Linked DNA regions of Schizosaccharomyces pombe. The gene in region 2 interacts genetically with the main gene of each other region. Each region holds a gene or a part of one and is shown on either strand. Other genes may lie near its edges.

Region 1 (4,307 bases), on a different chromosome or scaffold from region 2:
GATATTGAGGGTCTGCATGATGGACGTTCTTTGAAAACTATTATACCACAGGTAAATCCTAGAAGACTTGTCCTTATTCATGCTTCAACTGAAGAGAAAGAAGATATGAAGAAAACGTGCGCCTCTCTCAGTGCTTTTACCAAGGACGTTTACATACCCAACTATGGTGAAATCATTAATGTTAGTATCGATGTTAATGCATTCAGTCTTAAATTAGCAGATGATCTTATTAAAAATTTAATTTGGACTAAAGTTGGCAATTGCGAAGTTTCACATATGCTGGCTAAGGTTGAGATCTCTAAACCTTCTGAAGAAGAAGATAAAAAGGAAGAAGTTGAGAAAAAGGACGGTGATAAAGAAAGGAATGAAGAGAAAAAAGAAGAGAAAGAGACACTTCCTGTTCTTAACGCCTTGACTTTAAGATCAGACTTGGCAAGAGCGCCCAGGGCTGCTCCACTTTTGGTAGGTAATATTCGGCTTGCCTATCTCCGTAAAGCACTTTTAGATCAAGGAATTTCTGCTGAATTGAAAGGAGAAGGTGTTTTATTATGTGGGGGAGCTGTTGCCGTAAGAAAACTCAGTGGTGGTAAAATATCCGTTGAGGGCAGTTTGAGCAACCGCTTTTTTGAAATTCGAAAGTTGGTTTACGATGCACTTGCTGTCGTTTAACTAATGTATGAAAAAAAAATTTAATTAGGATTACATAAAAAAAAAGCTAGTAACTAGAAAGGATTCATGTACAACATAACTAATAAATGTTTGGTAATAGAAACGGAACGTAAAGCTTTATGAAACAATCATTTTCCTGCTTCCCCTCTTTTCTCTTTCCATTCAACATTCCCCGTTTGTCTTGCTGGCAGGTCAGTGTTAGTGGGCGTGGCCTGGGAAACAGGACGCATATAACCATCAAGTTCATCTTTTTCACGTTTGTCTTCCTCCTCTAGAGCCTTACGTTCAGAATCAGTTAGTCGGGACCGAAACTCAATATTAATCTCATGCAAAGCCTGTTGTAGGACAGATTCGGGGCATCGATCACGAGGAAGACCATTCTCAGGGTGACGAATATATCTATGCGATACATCGCGAACACTATCGACTATTTTTGCATTAGTAACAAATAAAATTAAAACCTTTTCCGTACTCCCAAAACCCAAACAATATGACATCTTCTTTCCCCAACCTAATGCTGTTAGAAATCAAGTTTTTCAAGGAGTTAGAACTCTACCTTGTTCGTATATCAAAGGTTCATCGAATGATTCTTCACCACTATCGACATGCACCCAGCGTTGCTGTTTATTACTATAGACTTCCGTCCACACATGGTCCTCAGCATTCCAAATCCACCTAGCTCTAGATCCAAGTGCTCTGCATAGGAAAGTGAAACACTAAGAAAATGTTAGCTTTATATATTTATAAATATTTTTAACTCACGTTGGCCCACTCTCCACATCTTCCCTTCCTTGAATCAAGCAATGCTCGAATGCGATTATACCTGGGAAATCTCTGATTATGCCCGCATACATTGCATTGATAAAGCTCTACGTTGCGGACTCCATTCCATTTTTCTTCCTCATTGGGGGGACCGTTGCCTGTCATATGAGTTTCACCCTACACATTGTCAATATTCTATATCGTACGGATAAAGAACAAAAAATTGACTACACCGTCAATCATAAAACATACTCCACATTTTTCGCAAGGTGGTTGATTAACCCAAACAAAGAATTCTCGCTTGAACCACTTTAACAAGGCTTGAATCACATAATCTTGGTAACCCCAAGATCCATCTCCCTCTTTTTCTAATTCAGAAGCATCTTGAAATAGTTTGTCAAGTGGTAAAATGCTAAGAGCATAATCCTGCAACTCTGGGTCTTCATACATCCACGGGTGTTGTGACATTTGACGTACTTCATGATAAAAGGGATATGTCTCTGGAGGCTGAGAAGCGTTCTGGGAATTCTTGCTTCTCATCATATCAATGAAACGTTGAGAAATCGCATGAAAATCCATTTTCAGCAAATGTCCTATTTTCAAGAAAATAGCTAACGATTGTAAACAAAAAAAAAGAAAAAAAAAGAAAAAATTAAAGAAGGTATTTGTAAAACTGGATTGATTTACAAAAAATGAGGGTAATGTATTCACGAATCACAATATACGCTAAATTCTAAAAGACAACGCTTTCCTGTAGTCTAATTATGAGTATAAAGACTTCAAATTGTTATCAATTGCAAATTACTACAAGCGTTTTAAACTAATTAGCATCGATACAGTTTTTTGTAACAATACAAATGGCGGTTATCCGCATTAAAAACTGTGGGAGAAACACCCAAATGCGGTTTCAGGGTATTTCAATCCTTACCTTTGAGCAATAGGCGAAGCCAGGCGGCACTCTGCTACCACTTTTTAATTTTATGGTATAATTTATCTTCCACTTTTCTTTTGTCTGTTTTCATTTTTAAAAAGCAAAAATCAGTTTTGATGGTTTGATTATTGGAATTTTACAATTTTTTTTTTTTTCTAATTTACTTCTTTTATACGAACGCTACTTTAATGGAGAAATTACTACACGAAGCCTTGCAAAATGGCTGCAAGCTTCATAAATCTGTCGAATTTATCCAAAGTCGAGACGATAACGCTTGTTTTGGTAGTTATATTGCTGTTGCACAAAACGATATAGCACCTGATCAATTACTTATATCCTGCCCTTTTGAGTATGCAATAACATATAACAAGGCGAAAGAGGAATTAAAAAAATTGAATCCAAATTTTGAGAGTTGCAATCCTCATATAACACTTTGTACATTTTTAGCATTGGAGAGCTTGAAGGGTATACAAAGTAAGTGGTACGGGTACATTGAGTATCTACCTAAAACATTCAACACCCCTCTTTATTTTAACGAAAATGATAACGCCTTTTTGATATCCACAAATGCGTACTCTGCTGCTCAGGAGCGTTTGCATATCTGGAAGCATGAGTATCAAGAAGCATTAAGTTTGCACCCATCTCCTACAGAAAGATTTACCTTCGATTTGTATATATGGTCTGCCACTGTTTTCTCATCTAGATGTTTTTCATCCAATCTAATATATAAGGATTCAGAGTCTACTCCCATTCTTCTTCCTCTCATTGACAGTCTGAATCATAAACCAAAGCAGCCAATTTTGTGGAATAGTGATTTTCAAGATGAAAAATCTGTTCAATTAATTTCCCAAGAGTTGGTTGCAAAAGGCAACCAGCTGTTTAATAATTACGGTCCAAAGGGCAACGAAGAGTTACTAATGGGCTATGGGTTTTGCTTACCTGATAACCCATTTGATACAGTGACTTTAAAAGTAGCTATTCATCCAGATTTACCGCATAAAGATCAAAAAGCTGCCATTCTTGAGAATGATTGCCAATTTCAGTTGAGCAATTTAGTATTTTTTTTGCCAAAGTCCCCAGATAAGGAAATTTTTCAAAAGATTCTTCAATGTTTAGCAGTTGTAACTGCCTCTTCTCTTGAACTTCGAAAATTGACAGCGCATTTGTTGACGGGTGATCTAGCTTCTTATGTCCCTTCTTTACGAGGCCAGATTAAGTCCTTGGAAGTTTTACTTATGTACATCGACTCTAGAGCTGACCTTTTGTTAAAATCAAATCCGCAAGTATCTCCGACCTCTGAAAGGCAGGTTTGGGCCAAAATTTATCGCGATAGTCAGATTAATATTCTTCAAGACTCCATCACTTATGTCAAAAATTATATGGAAGAATCACTCCAAAAAACTTACAAACCTCTTCCAAACCTTTTGCAATATCTCATCCTTAATTCGATATCTATTTTCCTCTTGCAACATCCTTTGTTTGCACCACTTTCGCATGCCATTGAGAGTCTCTATGGTTCAACCGATGCTGAAGCATTGGTCGCTACAGATGAGCAGGATATTTTAATGATATTGATTTGTGTATATTGTTTATCTATTTCTGAAAAATTACCTTTCTCAATTAGTATGCTTGTGGAAGGGTATCCAGCCGTTGCTAATCCAGAAGGTGTTGAAGTCTTTGAAATCTTGGATGAAATGTTTTTTCAACAATTTACAAACGTATTTGGGGAATCCAAGCATTTTAATAAAGAAAATGTTTCTTGGGCATTGCAATTGGTAAATGACGAAAGTCTCGACTTTTCTGGATTTACCTTTATTATTGCCCATAATTGATAAATAAAAATTAAGCGATTAATATATAATGTACGATGAGTATTCCAATATTGGGTTAGGTAAAGTAGATGACAAGACGTATTTTGATAAATGATTAAGGTGTTTAGTGTCTT
Region 2 (4,271 bases):
TTACGGGGTCTTTGCCGTGATCACCGTGTTTTCGAAATAATCGTATCTGTGCATCTTTATCCCATAAAAGAGATATTTATTATCCATGTTCTTTCTTTTTATCTCACATTTCTTTTTTTCAAATTAAATAGTAACATTTTTAATTGATAACGCATTTCAATATTCCATATTGTCAATTATGACTTTCCAAGAAGAAAAACAGTAGAATGAAAATACAACGTTGAGGTCAAGATAGGAATTGATTAATAATCTAGATATCTAAATCGTAGAATATTAGAATTTAACTATTATATGAAGGTTTGAATTGGTTTCCGAAGCTATTGTCGTGCTCATAGATACATCGTCTTATAGTAAAACTTAGGAACAATACTAATTTCCGTTAAATTTGATAATGTAAATAATGACAATTACGAATCAAAAAGAAGAGTCTGCTTGCCCTTGTCTGTTACAATAAATAAAAACGGTGACAGCTACATCAAATTTCCTCAACAACAATGATACCAACGACTATGCAATGTTTATTTTGAACATGGTTTTTAAAATTAAATACGCTATTTCATTAATAATCTGGTATTTTCGTTTCAGTCATTCCTAGTAACTAAGTTTAAGGTATCCCTTTGCTTGGGAATTTGAACCAAGACTTGAAAACATGGTAATAATGTCAATTCCAGGGAACAAACAAGCAAAAAAGTCAATTATTAGTTTAAGGGTCCTTTATCTTCTTGGTTTTTAAATATTATTTTTTTTTAATCTTTTATTTTTTCCTCGACAGACGGTATCTCATCCTCCATTAACGCATTATACGCTTTACCCACATGTCTGACCAGGTCAGTTGATTGAGTTGCACGACCACATTCCTTAAACGCCAAACGACTGCACCAGCGAGTACAGGCAGAGGCTCCAAATGCGGCAAGGAAGAGACATTCTTTAGCATCCATATTACCTTCTGTATCCCATTCTTTGCTAAGATAAGCATGTCTCCAAGCAAGGAATGTAGCAAGTATACCAGTTAAAATGTCACCCTGACCACCACAACGTTTAAGACCACCAGGAACGGAGCAAGCATATGCAGTAGCGCCATCGGAAATAATATCGGATTGGCCTTTTTGAATGATGAGCAAATTTAGTTTGCCAGCTAGCTGATTGCAAGCATCGGGTCCGTCACTCTTAATGTCAAGCTTGTCGCAAAGTCTTTTGAACTCAATAACGTTAGGTGTTAAAATTACATTATGATAACCCGAAACCAATTCGGGACGTTGTTGAATTAACCACAAGCCATCAGCATCGATAACCATAGGCATATCATTTTTGCGCGCATACTCAATTACTTTGGCCATAATCTCTTGCATCCATTCATCACGTCCCAATCCAGGCCCAATTACGATGGCATGCAATCTTCCCATCATGGGCTTTATAAGTTCAAAGCATTTATCGACACTATCTTCTGGTCCAGCTTTGTCCTTTTCACGTAAAAATGGATGAACAATCAGATCAGGAGAATAGCTTTTAATGACATTTGCAGCTTCTTTTTCACAAAATATGTGGCTTTGGTCACTGCCGAAGAGCATCGACGACATCGAAGAATAGTACGGAGCACCTGTGTAGTGCTGACAACCCCCAAAAACACCAACTCGACCGGCTTGACCTTTGTGGAAGGTATCAAGAAGTGGTGGAATGATGCGCTTCACACGAGTCAGCAAATTTGTAATTTTGGGAGATCCAGATGTCATGTTGTAATCTTGTTGAGCGAATTCTTCGGATAGCAAAAAATTATAAAGAATTACAATTATAATAAATCAAAAAGTCTTTAAAATTCCTGAATTTTGTATCTCTTAAGTACTGTGAGTGCTTCGGAATACGAATGTTCGGTTATTCTTGGAGTTGGCGTATGTATGATGTTAAGGTGGAAGGTATGATCAAAATGACGCTCAGTGATGAAGTTCAAATGTTCTCGAAAACAAAAAAAAAACGTAAAGAAACCCTTTGTTTTTTAAAAATTTCGCACTGACGATATCAAAAGGATGATCCCCTTGTTCATTACGAAAATCAGCAGTTTGTATAGAGTAAACGAAGTTTGGTAAGAAGATTTGCAAATATTCACAGATATCATGAGATTCCAGTATAATAAGAAAAATTTGATATTAAAAAATCCAAAAGTCCAAATACTACCACTGCTGCAATTAAGAATATCGCTTAGTGGAAAGATAGAAATAAAATTATGAATTCAATCGGAGATGCAAGACAACAGTCTAATGTGATGAAATATATTGAGTAGTTAATATCTCCATAAAGTAAAGGGGCTTTCGTAAGATCTAAACCATATTGTTTCAAGGAGAACCAGTAATGGGGATAATAACATATACGTACCTAGTATGGGTAATTACAGGAAAACAGGGCATTTAGATGTAAATGGAAGCCTTACAGCAATTAAAAAAAAAGAAGAGACAGTGAAAATGATTAGATAAGATACACACGAGATTTGACCAAACCCCCATGAAAACTGCGCATAGCAGTATGAGTTTTATCGGGGATTTGCAAACGACGAAAAGCTTCTAAAACATGAGAAACTTGAAGGGGAGTTCTCCCCTCAGTAAGTCCATCAAATAAACTGCAATTTTTCGGATGATGCGCTGCATGAGAGCCTCCACTACCCGAGCTATTTTGAATCCGATCCATTCGATCTTTCACAGCCAGTGCTTCCTCAGTTAAGGTAGCCACAATCTCAAAGGTCAAGAAGCCAAGTATATCTACAATATCATTATCAGGGCGAGTATCTGTTAGAATAGACATGCCACACCATTCACGAAATCGCTTGCCTTTTCGATAAGTAAAACTGGCTTGTCGACATTCACTCCAATGAACATACTCCTCACGCGTCATTTTCTTCGTGCGTTCATCTGCCATTTTAAGACGTTGTCGCGTCGCATATGCCATTTCCATCGTATCGTTATCTTCTTCAAACTCTTCTGTTTCCGGTACAGGCTCTGTAAACATATTTTTTACTTCCCAAGGCATAGCAACTGCATTCATTGACCTTGTTTTTGAATCTACTTCCTCAAAAAGATCTTTTGTATCGGCAGGATTGGCATCCTGCTCCTTCGCTTTCTTGCGCACTTCCTTCCATGACAGGTATGTCTTTAGTCGATTCACCTTTGCACGATCATGGCGAATTAAGAAAAATAAATCTTCCACAGTAATAGATCTTGAGCCACGTCGTAAAGCTAGCTCATTTGCCTGAATTAACATCTCCATCACTTGTCCACGTATTAGCTCTTCGACTAATTGTGTGGTTTCTGGGAGAGGATCCTGCACCTCCCCTAGAATGAACATCATTTGTTGAATTTCAACACGATATTTACTGGTTCTGCCAGTCTCAGTCATTCCGCATTGCTTATTTTTAACCACTTCCCAAAGTGGTGGGTAGTTGACAAGTTGCTGAACTCCAAACTGACAAGAAAAATATAGTTTCCAGTAAGAAGGACTAATTGATGGGGCATAAAGTGCTTTAAGTTGAAAAAGAAAAACCATTGTCAAACGTTTAGCTTGCAAAAAGCAAACAAATTTTATGAGAGCTGGATACACTATCCAAACTGCAAACCCAGTCCATTCTTTCGTTACAGAACATCCAGTACAACTAGTTAGTGAAGAAGTGTTATTAGAAGAGTAACTCCTGTCTTTTTTTGAAGCATAGGTTTATTAATTTAAGATTGTAAATGTTTGAAATTTTTTACCTTCGTAACTTGTTTACTTCCGTTTAAAGTAGATACTTGAGTAATCTATAAAGTGAAAAGCATCAACTTTCTTTGGTCTGAAACTCTCTTTTGCTAGATCATTCATCTTTGTTGCCATAAATGTAAACACCTTCTAATTATCAGCAATTTGTGATATTACTAGCAATTCTTTAGATTATGTTTTCGTGTTTAGAAGGATTTCATTAGTCTGAGTGATATTGCAATTTCTTCTTAATGCTTCTATTTCGAGCATGCTGTAAAATCGTCTGCTACCAATCTCTGTAATTTTTAATACTTCCAAAATGTTTAAGTGTGACTAGAAACTAAATTGAATACTCTGAACAAATGAATACCCTATTGAAGCCATCACTCATAAATTCGAGGAGTTAATTGCGGGAACATCAAATTGGCGGCTTAGCCTGAACCTCGGAGAAAGGGTCAAAGTGTAATTCTTCTATTATTTAAAAAAGTTTAACCGCTTCTTAAAGCAACCAAAAACCTCTTATTAACTAACTAGTCTGCATTTCATCAGTCTTTATT
Region 3 (4,223 bases), 850 kb from region 2:
AAGGTACAAAATTTGACAGCAACCGTCTTCACTCAATCCAGCAGCTTCTCCTACAGATTCTCTACGTAAGACCGGATGTATATTCAACTCTTCTAACATCATTTCTGTTATTTCCTCCTCATCACTATAAACACCTGAGCCATTATCACGAAGCAAACTCTGGTAATCCCTACTAGCAGCTATAGACTCCCCATCATTATACCGATTAAGATTGTATTCCGACTGTAGATAGTCCATGCTAAATTGGCTTACGCTGGCATCCGAAGAGGGCCTTAAAGTTTGATGATGAAAGCTTGAGACACTAGACGGAATGCTAGTTCCTAACCCAGGGCCATCGAAAATACTATCATGGCTCATCAATGATGATGCCAAATACGAATTTAACGAATTTTTTGAAGCAATTGAGGATGTTGACCTCTTGCTTCTTATCATCTTCGGAGATGCCATAATGATTTCTCCACTAAAAACCCCTTCAATCTCCCTAAATTATTGATTAAAACTAATTTACTATGAGATTGCAGGATGGTGGTAGTGAATAGGTAACCCATGAAGAGCGTTCGAAAATACTGAGCTACGGAATCACACATTACGAAGATTGCTACAACAAAAGGTGAGAACTTTACAATCATAAGTAAATAGAACAATAAGAAGTATTTGCTTTAATAGAAGTAATTTTTTTTATTGATCTGCTAAGGAAGTATTTTCTATAAATTAGAAGAAGGCTGCTCGTAAACATGTCTCTCGCGTTACCGAGAATACTTATTTCACTTGTCCCTTCAATGAAAACCATTTTCTAGGAATTTATATATTTCTTTTACGACTGAAAAACAAATTTATCATCTTTAATATCAATTTCGTAAACTTTATGCATCAATTATAATGTCTGCGACACGTAAACTTGAATAACATCCAGTTGCTTTTACTCCAAATCCAACTGGTTTGTGGCTGCGGGAGGACCAGAAAACAAGGAGCTCATAAGATTGGCTAGAATGTTTGGTTGATTGCTAACAGGGCGAATTCCAAAGTAGATTTCTTCAATCTTTGCTAAGGCCTGTAGTAAAAAAATTTGTTAGCAAAACACTTTAGAAATAAGAAAAAATGCTAATATGTAAATATATATATGAAAAAAAGAAACATTTTTCTTATAAATGTAACGTACAGCTTCCCAATCTTGCTTTTTAGGATACTTTTGTACCAATGAAAGATATGTCTCTTTATCTTTGCGATATGCCGTAAAAATAAGTAAATGTAAGAAATTCATCTGGGGATACTCTTTAAAAACAGGAAAATCTTTACCATCGAAACTCATGTTCTCAACATCAGGCGCATTCGATTTAGTAAAATGCTTGGTAAATGTCTCTAGTGAGTTCCAAGCAGAAATTAGGTTTTCTGCCAAAAGATAATTTAAAACAGGTCTTCCAGCAAACGTATCAGGACTGATCGAAGAATCCGACGTAAACCAATAGTACATTGTTTCACCATATGCGCGGGCGCTCTTTTCATTTCCGAGAACAAAGTGCTTCTCAGCGCTAGCGGGTTCTTTCCCTATATTATGTGTTAAAAGCAAAGCAGATTACGAAAAGTTCGTACATTTTACAAACATAGTAGCTACCGCAAAGTGAACGTCCTTGTCTCCTTGAGGACCGGCAGATTTGCTCCATCTATTCATCATTAGTAAGTAAAAAAAAAGACAGTATGTAGGATAAAAGGGCGAAGAATCGATCGTTATCATTCACGCCGTCCATATATAATCCATACAGATAAATAGGCACTTACTCTAAAAGCCTTTTAACGTATTGCTTCCTTGCACCTTCTTCGGCAGGAAAAAGTCCCAAAAGAGTCAAAGCTCGGGCTGTGAATTAGTATAATGAAGTTTAAAAATCAGAGTTAAAATTAGCTGATGTGACTAGCATACCTTTGTTGTCAAGAGAGGCAGCATATGAAGCTTTTTCATAAACATCTAGCATGTATATCGCTAGGTCTGCGGCACTTCCGGTTTGCTCGATTTCAAATAATGTTTTAGCGCCCGAATATAGCAATGCAACTGCATCGTCGTGTTTCTTAGCTTTCACCTGTCTTGCTCGGTTATTCATTGATCAATAACAAACAACCTACCTATTTACTAGAGTGCGAAGCATTTGGTGACCTTCATAGGGATCCTCTCGTAATCTAAATTGTCAATAATAATACCTTCATCAATATTCGTAATTCATTACCTTCCTTCGGCTCGCTTGATTTTTGCGTCCATATTGTTTATTATTTATAAAGAAAAATAAAAATAAGCGTAAAAAAACTGAGTAAACGTGAATTGCTATTTAACGCTTCTCGCACTAAGTGTTGTCTCAGGGAGCAAGTGGTCCTGCCCATCCCCGTATATACCTATTTTAGCGAAACTACCTACTACAGTTGAAATTGTGTATTTCATCTTTCAATGTATTTCAAAGGATGGATATAGATGTCTTGGAGTTTGTAGATAAGGTAAGAGAATACTGCTGAGTTGTAATTGATAAATTGGTAGATTGCTTCAATCGAATCTGCCGGTGACACCTTAGATCGGTTGCCCCAATTAATTAGCTTGGCGTGTGAAAAAGGACAAGAGACTCAAGTTTATGAACGGCTAAATGAATTGGCCAGCAAAAGCGCGATACGCGTTGAACAGCTCTCTGCTGAAAACAACCAGGTATGCTAGTCTCCTGTTTCCCTAAGGTATAATCTTACAATTATTAGGATTTTAGCAAATCGGTAAACCAGTTATCTGTAGTTCGGTCCGAACTTCGTAGTTTGCAATCTTTAATGGCCGACCTGAACACTGACATTCAAGCTAGCGGTCGTGATTTACAAAATATGGTGAGCAATTATATTAAGCGTGGCTCTTTCAACTTGAAGAAATTGAGCTTGATTAAATTCTTGAATTTTGATTACGCAGAAAACTAACAATTGTATCAGAAACAACAATTAAATTCTCTAAGCACATCCGAGAGATTTCTTACAAAATATCATAATTTAGTGAGGAGCTGTATGCAAGTGTTGCATCAGGTTCAGTACTCTCAAGAGTTATTGAGTAAAAAGCAGTATCTTCCTACACTCAGAATTTGCTCAGAAATAAGCGAAGTGCATTTAAAACGTTTAGATGGATTGGGGATGTATTCTACCATCCAACAATACATTGTCACTACCAAGGAAGCTATATGTAGCGCTGTTATGGAAGACCTGCATGAATGGCTTTTCAGCATTAGACAAAAACTACCTTTAGTTGGTAAATCATGCTCACAGCAAATTGATGAAGCCAGAAGACGATGGGCTAGGGAATACAAAGAGGATTTGGTTAACCTAAGCTCCAAAACCTCAATTTCCCTAGAACTATATTTGCTTGAAATGATGGATTGTATGTTTACGTTTTGTTTCTGTTTTGTTAACATTTTCAGTTTCTCCCTTAGATAACGAGATCGTCAAGATTAGCTTTGAACCTTTATATATATGCTTGCAAGTTCATTCTTATTTGGGCTTGCTCAGCTCTTTCCGTTCCTCATTTGAGCGAGATAGGAGACGCCAACAAGAGTTTTTAGCGCCTAAAAGTCTGACCACGCTAGACATGGCTGTTGTCAGCGAATGGTTAAATTCTATTGCTGGGTTTATGATAGTTGAGTACTACATATTACAGTGTATACCCAATTTTCGCTCTTACGAAGAAGTTCAAAACATTTGGACTATTATTTGTGAAAAGTTGGTCGAAACAATTTTAAGTGTTGCGTTTACAGAGCAAAGTACCACTACAATAATAAAACTGAAAAATCAAATTGTTTTGCTTATGCATACCATGGAGAGATTTGGGTTTTCCGTTGAAAGTTTGCGGAACTTATGTGTCGAGCTTATTGATGCTTTTGGTGGAGCCCTTATATTGAAGCATTCTGTGTTCTTTGAAGAGGCGTTTGAAAAGGATGTGTATGCTCCCATGATCGTTGAGACACAGGAGGAATATGACCATTATATAGCGCCCTATTGGAACTTCCCCTCTGAACCCTTCCCAAGAACAATGAGCTTTTCAAAGATGTGCCCACTATGTTGCACAACTCTTTCTAAATTTGTCCGTCATTTCTTCATGTTCTTAAATGATTCTGTCATATTGGCTACCGAAGTTAATGAAAAGGCACCACGATTCTATAGAAGGTTTATTCTTCGAAGCCTTGTTGATAGATTGAAGAGTTTATATCCAAAACTTGCAC
Region 4 (5,039 bases), on a different chromosome or scaffold from region 2:
TGATAATGTAGTTATGTAGTTTTATTTTATAAAAATAGATTTTTGCGAATAATCGTCGAGCATTCCGTTCAATTCATTCAATCACTGCGAGGGTTTATCGGGTTAATCTTCTGTAAGGAATATCGGCTTTTATGGAGTTAAAAATTGGTATGAACATTTTCCATTTGCATAAGCGAAAAAAACACGAATGTTTGTTTATTGAAATCGTTCGCACGATAGTGGAAACCAAAACATATATGGCAAAAAGCCTACAGCACCCCGGATTCCCATGTTGTCTCCAACCATAGTACTAACGAGGCCCTCAGACGCTTAACTGCAGTGATCGGACGGGAACTGGTGTTTTCGCCTAGGTATGGCCGTAGACGTTTGTCAAAAAATTTAACAAGATATATAGTGTAAGAAAAGATAAGAGGTATTTTAAATTTTGTTAAAAGCTTCAACATGATTTTTGAAAGAATTTTCAATGAGCACAATAATAAAATAACTGGTAGTACTCGTTTAACTGTGTATATACAAAATATATTTACACAAAAATATATCCGGTCAGGGAGGGACTCGAACCCTCGACCTCACGATTAACAGTCGTGCGCAATAACCAACTATGCTACCCGACCTTGGATGTCTGTAGATATATTTTAAACATATATATCTTCTATGCTTTAAACCTAGTCATTACTTTTGTCTTAATACCAGTTATTCTGAATCATCAAGTATTTCGGAACTTTAGTTATACTATATTTGTATTAGTAACATGAATTTTAAAGGATAGATAATTCCACTCAGAAGAAGACTGTTTCTAGACTATAAATATATTCACTATGTAGTAAACATATGTAAAGATTCAATGAAAAACAAATGGTTCGTTATTCGATTTGAATTAAATGAAATTAACAAATTATCATAAAAACAATCTAAATAATTGCGTAGTTTGATAAACACGAATAACAGGACCAGCAAGTAAAATCAAAAAAAAATCTGTGGTTAATTAAACAGCTTTATATTGGCTCATTTAACCTGATAAATTAATGTACTAAAGACCTTTTTTTTGTTTGAAATTATAAATACCACAGTTCGTCAACAAAAGTGAATTCAATTATGGAATAATTGGCAAAATTTGTAAAGCATCATTGTTTTCAATTCAGTAGAGTTTTCAAGAAGTCATTGATTAAATAAGTCTAAAAGATTCACTAGTTCATCAATAAATTTCTGGTCCCGTAACCCTATTCCGCCGCTTAGAATTTCGAACCTAACGGAAATTTATTTTTTTAGAAAAATATGATTTACTTATATCTAGATAGTAAACTAAGGACGCAAGCTCAAATTTGTTCAGCATCGCTCCCTAATTCTCATTTTTCCACTGTTACTAAAAACTGAACTATGTAAACCAAAGTCCGATATTCATCTCAAAAAATAGTACACTGTCACATATGAGCTAAAAGGACATAAAAAGAAATATTTTTTTACACCAAAGCTGCAACTTGTTTCTTTGAATTTCGAATGTTTACATTATTCTTTCCATTTAGCGATACGCTGCTTATTCCTATTGTACACCACCAATATGTGCTACTTTTTGTTACTTAGCTCTAGCTAGGTTTCATACATAAGGTGCATCTTTATGTTAGTCCACCTTCTTATCCCTTTACCGTACTTACTGGCTTCTTAAACAAGCTTCTCCGTTGTGCCATCTAGCTAATATAATCATTTTGAGAGGCTTTTACTATCGATCTATTTGGGTTGAATGATTAGGAACAGTAGCATTTCTGATGCTCTACCTGTAGCATTAGGCGGAAATGAAGAAGAATCGCCTTTATTGATGCTGGTACAATTACCCAAAGAGTTTCTCGAAGGATATCTTTCAGGAACGATAACAGACGTGAGCTTGGAATGCAGTGATGTTGGTACTGTATGTGTGGGCATTTGTGAAGAGCGATAAAGAAGAATGAATTTTGAATGTTGCTAACCAATATACTTTTTTTAGTCAATATTAGCGAACGATAGGTCTTACAAATGCACTTCCGTTCCAGAAACTGCTCCGCATGAGATTTACAGACTGGTGGACTCGAATTCGTTACAACTGGTTGGCCGTGTCTCACAAAAGCTACAGCTTCGTAGAGAGCTCGACAGTTTAACTGCTGAGCGAGTGAAAAATCGTACGCAGGAAGCTCAAAAGGAAAAAGAAGAAAAAAGGTATGAAAAGAACGACAATAGTATCAACCAATTCTATGGATTGGAAGAAGTTACTTTCAATCTTTCTCTTTTCAAATTATGCTAATATTTGTAAAAATAGAATTGTTACCCTTCAAAATGATGGTGGTTCAAAAAATACAACTGCTAGGAAGCAAAAGCAGTTAAAAAAAAATGGACTCAGGCCTCTCAATACAAGTGCTTCACGAATTGGTCTTTCCTCTTCTCCCACAAATACACCTTCCCCAAACCTTCCCGTCTCGCAACCGTCTGCATCACCACATTATTCTGGTGATAAAAACTCGGCCAAAGGCATTGATCTTCGTACTCGTGTTATCCAACTTTTGGCAATCGCTCCCGAAACTGAAGATTTTCTTCGTTTAAGAACAAAGGCGTCACTTTCCAAATTACAAGCGTTATTACCAGAAGTCGCTTGGAAGAACAACATGAATCAATGGGAGCTCCTTAATCCTGTGTATAAAGATGTACGAGTCTTTGATTGGCGTCCTTATAGTATTGCAGACAGGAATGCCGTTCTAAGTCGTATGTCCAATGCATTCGACAACATGCAATTGCCTCCTGATGCTCCTGAACGTTCACTTTTAGTGTCAAAACAAAAAAACATTACTAAACTCAACAATGAAAAACGAATTCCTCCCCAATTGGCCCAACCCACTTCTCATGTTCCTTCATTCATTGACACTAACTCTCCTTCAATGCCTTCTATTTCCTCGGTTTCTTCTTATCAACAACAACACCGCATACCCAAGCTCAACGCTTCAAACTATTCTCCCTTGCTTTCCCCCTCCTCACACCGAAAAACATCGGGAAATCTTTCTCGTACTGGTTCAGAAAGCTCTGCCGTTTCATTAAGCGATACAACAAACTTAAATACTCCTATCTCCGACATTCCTTCACCTGGCTCTTCCACTACTTGCTCCAATCTTTCATCTCCACATATCAAACGAAAAAGTCGTTCTCCTCCGCAATCCTTGCCTTCCACCCCGTTTCCTACGTCTTCGTCTTCTACCAACGGCACTCTTGAACCCAATGCAAACTCTCCCAAGAAGAATGAACAAGATGCATGGATAGCTAAAAAGCGTCGTCAACAACGTTACACTACAGAAGAAATGCGAGCATTGGCAAAAAGATTTCGGGAAACTTATCCGCGTTATAAGAATTTATATTTAAAAGTCTCTTCATATTATGATAATAATGATACTAATAATCCTAATTTAAACAAGCTCCAAGATGAACTTATATCTCTACATTCTCAGCTCAAAAGCTGGAAAAATACACTTTACGATGCTTCCTCGGAGCTAGCCCTCTAACTTTTCTCAATAAATTTCCGGTTTTCTTAACACTCAGTTTTATTTCCAATGTTTTATAAAGGTGACGGTTATCTCAGCTTCAATTCAAAATTGTTTCAATACTGTACGGTGCCTACAACGAGTGCAGGCTGTTTTTTCCTGCTTTCGTTAAGGCTAGTGTTTCGTTTAAAAGATAAATTGGTTAAATTCATATTCAATTAGCAGTTTATTGAATATTAGTTTGTTTTTGATTTTATAATGAGAATCTTGTTATTGTGATGCTTTTTTTAAACTTTTATGACATATCTTTAAGTTAGTTAAACTGCGTGAATTCCTTATGTGCTATCACTTTTTTTTGGGCTTAAAAGTACCACTGATGAGTCCTTTCGTTTAATCTAATTTATTTTGTTTTTCTTACCACCTTTCATGAAATATTCCGCCAAAATTTTTTTTCTACATTAGTACAAAGTGACCCTGAAACAAAAACTATCATTAAAATGTTTAGGTATTCATTGATCCGTTGATTACTGATTTACCTTCATAAGTCATCTAATATAAATATTTGGAGACCAGCTTCTTTCACAGCTTAACCAGCGCTGATAGCAAAAAAGTAAATTCTATTTTCGTTTATCAGAAGCAAATATTTAATCAATTAAAATTAAAACTTTTATTTATCAAATATCGGTAATAACTACAATGTGTAATGGTATATAACCTTCAACACGGTCGTCCTTATTTTTGCCTTTCTTATATTGTTTTATTTAAAAAGGATACAAAGTTAATAAAATACAACAGAAACAAAAAAAATTGCAATTCTTTTATATAACCTCCTTAAGCCAGCGGTAATAATGCGATGGCAAACGTCGATGTTCACGCAAACCTACAGAAACTACATTGATATCCACTTCTGGCTGCCATAGTTGGCATTGTCTAGAAAGGGCACCACTAACATTAGTAGAAGGGTGAACCGGTATAATCAATCCTATAGACCCTAAAGTTTCCCATGCTTCCAAAGCAACATCCCTTCCCCATAATCGACTGCTATGAGCTAGAGCTCCCGATGCTGCGGCATTTATAACGGAAGATTGATGCAGTTGTCGATATTCTTGATAAGCACTATTAAAGTTGCAAGCTGGAATATCCCTAGCTTCAAAGCGAACTGCACAAATCAATAAAGCCAACTCCAACAAACTTAAATTCTTTACAAGTTCAACCTTATGGTCAGAAACTTTGAGACTGATATTGGCGAAGTCTTCATCAGCAAGTAATGGACGATCAGGTGCCATGGAAAGTATGGGAAATAATAAATCAACATACAATAATTTTAAATTTCTGCTTGCAAAATAGTGATGTTGTACCAATTTATGTAAGTGACTTCGTGTATCGGAAAGCAATTCATCCACTCTCTGGTTCCAGCATGTTATTATTTGGTCTTTTCCGCCTTCGTCAGAAACATACAAAACAGATTTTAAAATTTGCTCAAATTCACTAAGCGAAGAAGGTGGTCGCATGGGAATTACCATGTGACTAAACCTACTTTTTACT

What was found.
Region 1: mutations in nnr2 (region 2) and ngl1 together harm fitness less than expected from each alone (positive genetic interaction), as found in Schizosaccharomyces pombe (one large-scale study listed by BioGRID).
Region 3: mutations in nnr2 (region 2) and get4 together harm fitness more than expected from each alone (negative genetic interaction), as found in Schizosaccharomyces pombe (one large-scale study listed by BioGRID).
Region 4: mutations in nnr2 (region 2) and ell1 together harm fitness less than expected from each alone (positive genetic interaction), as found in Schizosaccharomyces pombe (one large-scale study listed by BioGRID).

What each region holds. Positions count from the first base shown.
Region 1 is NC_003423.3:1,124,331-1,128,637, reverse strand, and holds ngl1 (peptide N-glycanase), read right to left. Parts: upstream 2,167-4,307; 5' UTR 2,011-2,166; coding exon 1,684-2,010; intron 1,609-1,683; coding exon 1,432-1,608; intron 1,386-1,431; coding exon 1,226-1,385; intron 1,181-1,225; coding exon 1,142-1,180; intron 1,097-1,141; coding exon 798-1,096; 3' UTR 670-797; downstream 1-669. Other genes in the region: mRNA processing protein Cft2, read left to right, coding at 1-669; ribosomal lysine methyltransferase Set10, read left to right, coding at 2,551-4,194.
Region 2 is NC_003421.2:1,442,112-1,446,382, reverse strand, and holds nnr2 (NADHX dehydratase Nnr2), read right to left. Parts: upstream 1,895-4,271; 5' UTR 1,731-1,894; coding exon 747-1,730; 3' UTR 501-746; downstream 1-500. Other genes in the region: SPOM_SPCC61.04C (Rab GTPase-binding protein), read left to right, coding at 1-40; SAGA complex subunit Spt3, read right to left, coding at 2,458-3,381.
Region 3 is NC_003421.2:589,407-593,629, forward strand, and holds get4 (protein Get4), read right to left. Parts: upstream 2,345-4,223; 5' UTR 2,249-2,344; coding exon 2,217-2,248; intron 2,170-2,216; coding exon 2,116-2,169; exon of another isoform or gene 2,077-2,115; coding exon 1,916-2,076; exon of another isoform or gene 1,853-1,915; coding exon 1,777-1,852; exon of another isoform or gene 1,662-1,776; coding exon 1,591-1,661; intron 1,546-1,590; coding exon 1,160-1,545; intron 1,095-1,159; exon of another isoform or gene 1,052-1,094; coding exon 920-1,051; 3' UTR 664-919; downstream 1-663. Other genes in the region: SPOM_SPCC1672.11C (P-type ATPase P5 type), read right to left, coding at 1-447; exocyst complex subunit Sec15, read left to right, coding at 2,446-2,478, 2,519-2,680, 2,728-2,847, 2,947-3,385, 3,426-4,223. UniProt on the Schizosaccharomyces pombe protein: May play a role in insertion of tail-anchored proteins into the endoplasmic reticulum membrane.
Region 4 is NC_003423.3:2,027,735-2,032,773, reverse strand, and holds ell1 (RNA polymerase II transcription elongation factor Ell1), read left to right. Parts: upstream 1-1,633; 5' UTR 1,634-1,738; coding exon 1,739-1,903; intron 1,904-1,978; coding exon 1,979-2,187; intron 2,188-2,287; coding exon 2,288-3,515; 3' UTR 3,516-4,164; downstream 4,165-5,039. Other genes in the region: origin recognition complex subunit Orc4, read right to left, coding at 4,313-5,039.